Linked DNA regions of Coturnix japonica. The protein of the gene in region 1 interacts with the protein of each later gene in a biochemical or structural test. Links are inferred from orthologs where the notes say so. Each region holds a gene or a part of one and is shown on either strand. Other genes may lie near its edges. The genes, in order: SPI1 and IRF8.

Region 1 (4,438 bases):
ATCTGACCAATTCTAAGCTTTCATCCAAAAGGAGACTTGACAATAATCTCTGAAGCAGAAATGGACCATTTATGAGCTTGTTTATTTCAAGGTTAATGCCAAGATTACATGGTGCAAACAATCTAAGAATGAAATGGTTATGTATCAACTGATGACAGTGAAATTCAGCCTTAGGCATCAAAAGTTAATCTCCCATCGTGTTTTGATCTTATCCCATTGCTAACATGGTTTGCTTGTTTGGTTCCTTAGGGTGGGGAATGAGAGGAACTTATGAGTAGCCTCTGGTTTTACCAGTGTATGAGGGAGGAAGTTGTAGTGGCTAAAACTCCCCCTCACACATAGACCCAGGTGAGTGGTGAACAGCCTACTTTCAAAAGCAGAACCTGTGGCACATGGGCACATATTGAAGGGGAACAACCCAGAGAAAGCAACTTCACTTTTCCAAAATATCAGTAACTATTTGCAAAGCAAGAAGGCATTTTGCAGAATGAGAGTTCTCCCATTGCAGCAAGGCCCCATCCTTTACGTCCTGCACTGTGACCCACTCACCCCTGCCTCTGACTGAACCTTGGTGGGAAGGGCACGTGCTCACTGTAGCCTATGCAGTGTTGAGCGAGAAAGGGGAAAGAACTTGTGCATAGAGTTTAAGCAAAATTTCTACATGCAATTTCATAATCCAGCCATTCAGATACCAATCTACAAACCTTATTCTCTACTCACTGTTAAAGGCACTCTGAGAAGTCAAGCCATTACATGGGGCATATAATGCTTTCTCCTTTCCCACTTTTTTTATCCGTGCGGTGCCTAGAAAGAAATCACAACAAGAAGACTTAGTATTTTTCTCTAAATAATTTTGATCTGTAGCAAATTCTATGGAGAAAGTCTAGCGGGCTCAGTTTCTACAAAACATTGGTTTTATAGAAAATTATATTTTAACATTAAAAACCAAATTTAAAAGAAAAAAAAGGGGGGGGGAAGGCTTGGGGTTTTGATTTGTTTTTGTTGTTGTTGTTTTGTAGTTTTGTTTTTTTCTTTCTTTTTTTTTTTTTCTTTTTTTTTTGAATATTTGAGAATGTGTACATGACGCTACATACTCTTTTCTTTCTTTTCTCTTAATTCCAATACAGCACTGTTACTAAAACAAGTCTATGCCACTGTTCTATCCTCACAAAAGTTGTCAGGCTCTGTGATCATTAAGCAGCACCATTATTTGGTTCCTCCACAGCTGGAAGTACACAGGCTTACCACAGCACACTGTACCCATAGACTTGTTTATTGGTAGCAGGCCCAGGCACTGGGTTGCTGATTATACAGCAAGCACCTGCCCATGGCAGATCTGGCTTGGGGCAGACTTCCTGTTAGAGCGCCACAGCTCCCTGAAATGAGATTTATGCAAACTCAAAGCTGTGATGATGTCACAGCGCACTGATAGACCCAAGGGCTATCTCCCTTCTACAGACATTTGATAAAATCAGGAACTTCAAATACAACTTGGAAAGAAGTTCACCTCAGAACCTATTAGGGCAAACTATGAAAACTTGTTAGGGTTATTCTCCTATCCTGAGATCCACCACTGCAAAGGGACTTTGCGGAGTCCAAGGATCTCATTTTTGTTCTTTTTTTTTTTTTCCTTCTTTTTTCTCTTCATTGTTTTGTTTGTTTCATGTGATTTTTCAAGTCAGTTATTCTGGATGTTTGAAAACTGAATTAAGAAAAATTCACTCTGAAATTGGCTGAATGTTGCAAGCTTGCAAAATGGAAGGATTTCCCCTCATTCCCCCTGTGAGTATGCGGGCTTTATTTCTAATGTGGATCATTGGGTTTAGTAGCAAAAGACAAAGTAAACCAGATTTTAATATTTGAGATTGTCCTCTTTTGGTCTACATTTGTAATGCTGGGAAAACAGGTTCGGGTGAATATATAAAGCTTGGGACAACATTACAATGAATGGGAAATTAATGTTTCCTTCCTACGCTTATATCGGATCTTGATCTCCATTTGCTTTCACAGATTAAATGTACACTAGTTCTGTATGATATGCATATGGCAAGCCAGTACAAGTGCCAGCTTTGTGGTATTAGGCCAACTCTTGCTTTAAGCTGTAATTTTTCATAATCTGGAGACTGTTATAATTCGCGTAATTAACTTTCTACCAGTCAGAGTTGTTGAATACTGATTTTAAGTACTGTTGGTTTTTGGACTCTGTGCTCTTTGTACTGATGGTGTTTTAGTCTCTGCCTTCACCTTCTTTTGAATCTGAATTTTCTTGAATTCACTTGTTGTAAAAAAGTAACTGGAGAATGATGAAAAAAACTCCACTGTGCTTAATTGGGCCTTTCAATATTTTCTGTTAGATGCAGATTCTTCCGGATGATAACAAGACTAGTTCTATCTTTTTTCCTTTTTTCTTTTTCTTTAATAACACTGAAGCATCGGGATGTTGTTGTAATGTATTCTACCATGAGTTTGAAGATTAGTTTTATAAAAAATGTAATGGCACCAGCCTGTCATTGAGAGACAAACCTTCACGGGGCATTTCTAAGAAAAATGGGACAAAGAGGCCCTAACAAGATTTTATGAAGTTTGTATAACCTAGAGTGATATCAGATAGGGTGCTTTAATTGGCTTTCTTTTTCTTTTTTTCTTTTTCTTCCCCCCCCCCCCCCCTTTTTAATGTGGTAGATAACTTACAGTACTTGCTTATGTGAAAAAAAGACAAGGCCCAACCAACAGTCCTTTTAACAAAACGCACATCATATTCACTTTTTCTATTGCCCCACCTAAAGAAAGTAAAGCCATATTTCCTTATCTTCAGATCTCCAGAAAAAACAAAAAAACAAACTCCCTGGTTATTTGAATTTCTTTTCTGTCTGGAATCTATATTGATTGAAAAAAATACTTGCCTCTTACATTTGGGAGATTGTTTATTCTAGCAGTTAATCAGTGGTGACCTTAAAGTTCACTATTTACCCAAAGTGTGAGAAGACTCTAAAAATCTTCTTTAATTTTTGAAAATATGTCAGCATAAGCATCCAAAAAAATTGAGAGTATAGGGAAAAAAAAAAAAAAAAAAAGAAAGAGTATAAATTTCTCAATATGTTACTTGGTGAGCTTAACAAAAATCCCCTTCAAAAGCACCCAAACCTTGTCCTCAACTACTCCAGCAAGCAGCATCTCAGTTTTATTATTATTGATGATTTTCTGTCTACTCATTCACTCAAAGCCAACTTTCCTGTACTCTTTTTTAAAGTACTGAATTCCAGTTCATACGTTGAACAATCTGGGGGGTTGGCCTCAACAACTTTCCAGCTCCTGAAATTCTATGATTCTGGGAGTAAATTCTAACATAGTCACACACACATTCTAATTTCTGTTGAAATTAGTATTTTGGCTAAAGTCAGGTGAATAAAACAACAGGCAGTAAAATACAATTACATCTTAAAGGAACACTTGGTGGGGTAATTTGTTTCTTATTTTTGTGATTAATGCATTCAAAAGTGAATATTTTTGTGTTTCGTACTTTCAGAATTGTTTCAAGTGCACTCTGAGCAGGGTGAGTTACAGCCCAAGCATGGCATCACTATAAACGTCTGTGCCTCTTGGGACTTTTTCTGAGAAGAGACATTACCCTGTTTCTACACAAGGGTTCCTGTGAAGCAACATTTTCCTCCTCTGCCCCTCCCCATTCAGTTGAGGGTGGGTCAATAACTGCCTTCCTCCCAACTCTGCTAGGAAACTCTTGACCGTCCTTTGGAAAATGCTACTCAAATGGTTTAGGAGTACACATCTTTCTCCAAAGACTATGAATATTTTTATGACAGAGTTCAGCAAAGTGGACCCAAGCCTTCCAAGTGGGAGCTATTCATATCCAAATTCCTAAGTAGTCATCTGTCACAGCTCTGAATGGAGGCTTGAGAGGAAAAAAAAGCCTCTCCAATGCTTGCTGTCCCATAAAACTGCTTCACTCCAGTGGTCTGGTAAGGCTGGCCCAATGAGCGATCATGTTATCATTTTCACTCATCTTTTCTAAAATAGTTATACTGTTAATATATAATATAACTGTTAATATAGTTAACCTTGGCCTTAAAATTTGTGTCAGCAGCACATTGTTGGAAACCATGTAGAGTATTTCTGTATCACATGCCAGTGAATAGTTACATTGGGATAACAATGAAAGCATTCAGTGAAATTATGATCACCTGGAATCATTTGACAAGGCCAATTTTCAAATTGTTATTCAATTGAATCTCCCGTATCGCACTTAACTAATGCCAACCAAACCTTCTCCAATAAGTTCTGTGGCTTTTCCCTTGAGTTTCCAGAGTAGAGAAGGAAGATATAAGCAACTCACCATTTACCAAAGTCTGTGGCAGATAAAATCCTGTTTACTGACCCCTTTCTTTTGGTTGGAATATGGTTTTAGATAACATACTGCACT
Region 2 (4,508 bases), on another chromosome or scaffold:
CAGATAATCCCATTAAAGCCCCTCGGAAGCCAAAGCTGCAGCTGAGGTTTGGGCTATGATGTGCTTTGGGCTTTGCAGATGTGCAAACCCTTGGCTGGTGCAAAGCTGGTGTCCACATTGCTATGGGGTATCTGGGTGACCACCTTGTGCTAAGCCTAAGGAATATAAGCAAAGCCAATGGGCTGGGATTGACTGAGCAGCACCTGGAGCAGCGTGGGGATGAAGACATAGATAAAATGGGACGGAATGAGACCGGACGGACTTTGGACACACGGACACGAGCCGCCCCCGCTCCACGATGTTGATTTCCCGGAAAACCACGAGCTGCGGAGAAAAGCGCGCGCGCGCGCCCCCTACTGGCGCGAAAGGAGGAGGAAGGGCTCCTATTGGCTGAGAGGCTCAGGGGGCGGGGCGATGTAGGGCGCGCCTTGCGGGGCGCTATAAGGGTGCGGGCGCGGGCGGAGGGGAGCGGAGTGGGGTGCGTGGAAGGTAATTAATGGGGTGTGTTGTGGGGTGTGGGGAGGGATCGGGGTGGTATTAGGGTGTCTTTGGGGTCTCTGGTTGCTGGAGTGGGGGTGTAGAGTGCTGGGATAAGGCTTTAAGGTGTATGTAGGGTTTTAGGATGGTGGGGGTGAGTAGGGTACAGACATGGGGGGTGGCTGGTTGCTGGAGTGGGGGGTATACGGTGCTGGGATAAGGCTTTAAGGTGTATGTCTGTAGGGTTTTAGGGTGCTGGGAGTGAGGAGGGTACGGGCATGGGGTGCTAAGGGAGGGGGTGTTAGGGTTGTGGGGTCAGGGTGGTGCTGGGATAGGGTTGGGGGTGATGGAATGGAGGCTGCAGGGTGCTGGGGGTTAGGGCTTAAAGGTGCTGAGTTTATAGGGTGCTGGGGGTGGATGGAGCTGAGCTGTGGGCTCTGGGAATGGAGTTTGAGGGTCCTGTGTGTGTACAGTAAAGCAGGCAGGGTAATGGGTTGTAAGCTGCAGGGTGCTGGGAGTGGTGCTTATAGGGCTCTTGGGTGTGTAGGAAATAGGGCTGCACGGTGCTGGCAGTGCATCGGGAAGGATCTTTGGGTGCTGGGATGTGAAGTTTGAAGGTAACGTGAACAAGCTGATGAGAAGATGGGCTGAATTGGCTTTCTCATGGCTGCTCCATTAAGCCGTTTAGCTACAAACGAGCTGAGACCAGAAGTGGGGTGACCTCACATCCCTCAGCAGGGCCATGGTCCTGTCCTGGAGAGGATGTGGTTGGGTGACCCTGCTGCTACCTGCACTGCTCCTTGCTGTTCTCATGCTGCATGAGGCTTTGCCCTTTTAGGTCTTTTTTTTTTCCCCCTCATTGCTTTAGTACTGGGAGCTGTCTGCCTCTATAGCATCACTTCTTTAGCTGACAGCCCAGTTCCTATGGGGTTGACCCCAAAAAGAGGGGCCATTGCAAGGCAGCCTGTTGCTGCGCCAGAGCTTTGATCAGCAGCAGGAGGAGGATAAAGGTGCCTTCCAGCAGGGCTTCCACGCAGGCTGCAGATAGGCTCAGGCTGCAGATAGGCTCATGAGAGCTTTCGTCATACTCAGTAAATGGGGTGTGGGCACCGGTCCAGTGCCTGCCCACATGGCTGGGGCGGAGCGATGGGGGAACGGCTGCAGAACTGCTGCTATGGCTTTTGCAGTGTAGTAAAGGGAGGTTTGGTGTACGGAGGGGGACGTGGCCAATGCTGCATGTGATAAAGTGGAGCAGAGAGTGATCGCTTCCATGCCCTGAAAGTGAGAGGCAGCTATTAGAATGCGTTAAGATATCTTCGTAGACCAGACTGCTGTTAGTTGAGGGGTTGCAAAAGGGTGTGGGGATAAACGGACAGACTGACAGCTCTTATTTCTGCCCCAGGATGTGTGACCGTAACGGTGGGAGGCGGCTGCGGCAGTGGCTGATTGAGCAGATAGACAGTGAGCAATACCCAGGGCTCATATGGGAGAATGAGGAGAAAACCATGTTCCGTATCCCCTGGAAGCACGCAGGGAAGCAGGACTACAACCAGGAGGTGGATGCTTCGATTTTCAAGGTAGGATGAGATGGTCTGTCATTATAACCAATGGTTTCTGGGCTATAAGGTGAGGTGGTCTGGCCCTGTTGTCAGTGGTTTCTGGGCTATCTGATATGCTCTGTCACCTGCCCTAAGCTTCCTAATGGGCTCTTTCTGATAAGAGTGTATTTACCAAAGAAAGAAAAGGAAGGAAGGAAGCGTCAGCTATTTCTCAGAGAGGAGGGACTTCACACATTGGGTATAATGGGAAAATTCTGTCCTGAACCAAAAAGTCAGGCTCTTCCCCAGGAATTCCCTTTGCTCTATTCCCATACCTTGCCCCATTCCCATACCTTGCTTTATTCACGATGACTGATGGCTTTCAGGGCACCGATCACAGCAATGGGTTATAGAGGTGGCTTTATATATATTCATATCTGCTATCTATATTAAAAGATAGTCTCCCACCTCCCCGTGAAAGCACAAGTGCCATTTAGATATTAAATGAAGAATCCAGCTGGCAGTTTCTGGTCTAAAGCTGAAGGGGTGAGCTGTATTTTAGTCTGGATTTGGGTGTTACTGGGTCAGGATGGGCATCATTGCTTGGGTCTGCACCCTTGTATCAGTCCATGCTGAGACGAATTCACATGCTGCTGTTTTAGCTTTGGTTTGAGCTGTATTGTGAGGGGCCATGAAACCAACTCCAGCTCCCATAGCTTGGTGTGGTGTGGCTGGTGCAGAGCTGGCTGTGTGGCAATGCCTGAACTTTTGGGGACTTATGAGTTGTTTGTGAGCAGCAACGTGCCCAAGATGTGCTGCCCATCCACTCTTTGGTCCAAAGGGATTTGCAGAGCTTATATTGAGAATGATTTCATTCTTGCTTTGCTTTAGGCTTGGGCTGTTTTCAAAGGCAAATTCAAAGAAGGTGACAAGGCAGAACCGGCCACCTGGAAGACACGGCTGCGTTGTGCCTTGAACAAGAGCCCTGACTTTGAGGAGGTAACAGACAGGTCCCAGCTGGACATCTCTGAGCCCTACAAGGTGTACAGGATCGTGCCAGAAGAGGAGCAGAAATGTGAGTGCTCCATTGAAAGGCATGGGCTCTGGGTACTGCTGACCTATAGCCAGCAGTGTGGGGCTGGCCCCATAGCTTGGGTGCATGTCCTGCATCACTGCAGTGCTTTGTCCTCCCAGCACCTGCCCTGGCAGGGAGTTGTGATAAATCCCTTCCCTCTTGCTATCACTCCAATAGAAACAGCAGCTCAGCAGGGAGCAGCCACTGCTGTATGGCACAGGTTGCAATATGCATCTCTCTGCTGTTGTTCTGATGTGTGATGGAGTTTTTCCTTTCTCTCCTTGCTAGCTTTGTCTTAGTAAAAAGGAGGAGAGGGGGAGAAAACAAGATAAATCACGCAGGAGATCTGCGTGTAGCATCTTGTCTCCTATGTGTTTACACTGGGGGCCCTGTATGCAAATGGCACTGCAGGTTCCCACCGGCTCATGGCAAAAAGAGAAGCAGCCCCGGTCTCTGGGGTGCTCAGAAAACACCCTCTCCTCTGCTCTAACCCCAAGCCGAATTTAGTTTGCCCTACTGCTCGTCACTATGTACCAGTGCCATTTATTGCAGGCTGGTTTCTGGCCCCGTAATGCAGCTGCTGGGGGGGAAGAGGAACGCGGGATTGCTGCGGTTCTCAGTTTCATAACTTTCGTGGGGTGAAGGGTTTCTGAAATCTGGTGGTGAGGCCACGGCTGCTCTGCTGCATCATCCTCACTGCTCTCTGCAGGCAAAGTCGGTGTTGGGAACGGGAGCAGCCTGACTGATGTTGGGGACATGGACTGCAGCCCCTCTGCCATCGATGACCTGATGAAAGAGGTGAGCTCCCACTATGGATGCAGACCTGACCAGGCAAAGACTGCTTGCCTGGTGGTGCTTAAAGCTACATCTGCCTCATGTAGAGCACTGTGCTTTTGCAGCTGTGCTGGCTGTGGTCATTCATCTGCGCAAGTCTGAGGTCTCGGTGTGGTTGCTCATGGCTGGAGCATGCTTCGTTTGCATTTGTGTTTGGAGGGGGCTGCAGGCTTCTTGTGCTTCTGTTCCCTTTCTTCGTTGCACTGTGTGGGGCCTGTTCTGCTCCATGCCTCTTGAGAGGTTATTTGAGTGCACAGCCTGGGGAATCCCAAACTTGCTCTTTCTAACCAAAAAGCATTCACCAGCCTCTTGGCATCCCTTTTGCCTTCTTGCTTTGCCTCTCGGACCCCTCTTTGGGCACTATCCAGCTTTTTTTTGTCCTTGGCTGATCCTAATGGGTGTCCCCTTCTGCTCCAGCCTCCTTGTGTGGATGAATATCTGGGGATCATCAAGAGAAGCCCCTCACCCCCACAGGAGACCTGCAGGAACCCCCCAATACCAGACTGGTGGATGCAGCAGCCCAGCCCCTGTAAGTAGTGTGTGGAGTGTTCTATAGGACCCAGCTGTTTGTCCAAGGGCAGTGC

Evidence for each region.
Region 2: the proteins of SPI1 (region 1) and IRF8 form a complex in vitro, tested with the Homo sapiens proteins (3 studies listed by BioGRID). The link is inferred for Coturnix japonica from reciprocal best matches to the Homo sapiens genes SPI1 and IRF8.

Annotation. Positions count from the first base shown.
Region 1 is NC_029520.1:20,476,919-20,481,356, forward strand, and holds the start of SPI1 (transcription factor PU.1), read left to right. Parts: upstream 1-1,398; 5' UTR 1,399-1,737; coding exon 1,738-1,782; intron 1,783-4,438. UniProt on the Homo sapiens protein: Pioneer transcription factor, which controls hematopoietic cell fate by decompacting stem cell heterochromatin and allowing other transcription factors to enter otherwise inaccessible genomic sites.
Region 2 is NC_029526.1:15,660,148-15,664,655, reverse strand, and holds the start of IRF8 (interferon regulatory factor 8), read left to right. Parts: upstream 1-1,643; 5' UTR 1,644-1,651; coding exon 1,652-1,665; intron 1,666-1,735; exon of another isoform or gene 1,736-1,758; intron 1,759-1,788; exon of another isoform or gene 1,789-1,810; intron 1,811-1,879; coding exon 1,880-2,054; intron 2,055-2,906; coding exon 2,907-3,090; intron 3,091-3,799; coding exon 3,800-3,888; intron 3,889-4,341; coding exon 4,342-4,453; intron 4,454-4,508. UniProt on the Homo sapiens protein: Transcription factor that specifically binds to the upstream regulatory region of type I interferon (IFN) and IFN-inducible MHC class I genes (the interferon consensus sequence (ICS)). Can both act as a transcriptional activator or repressor.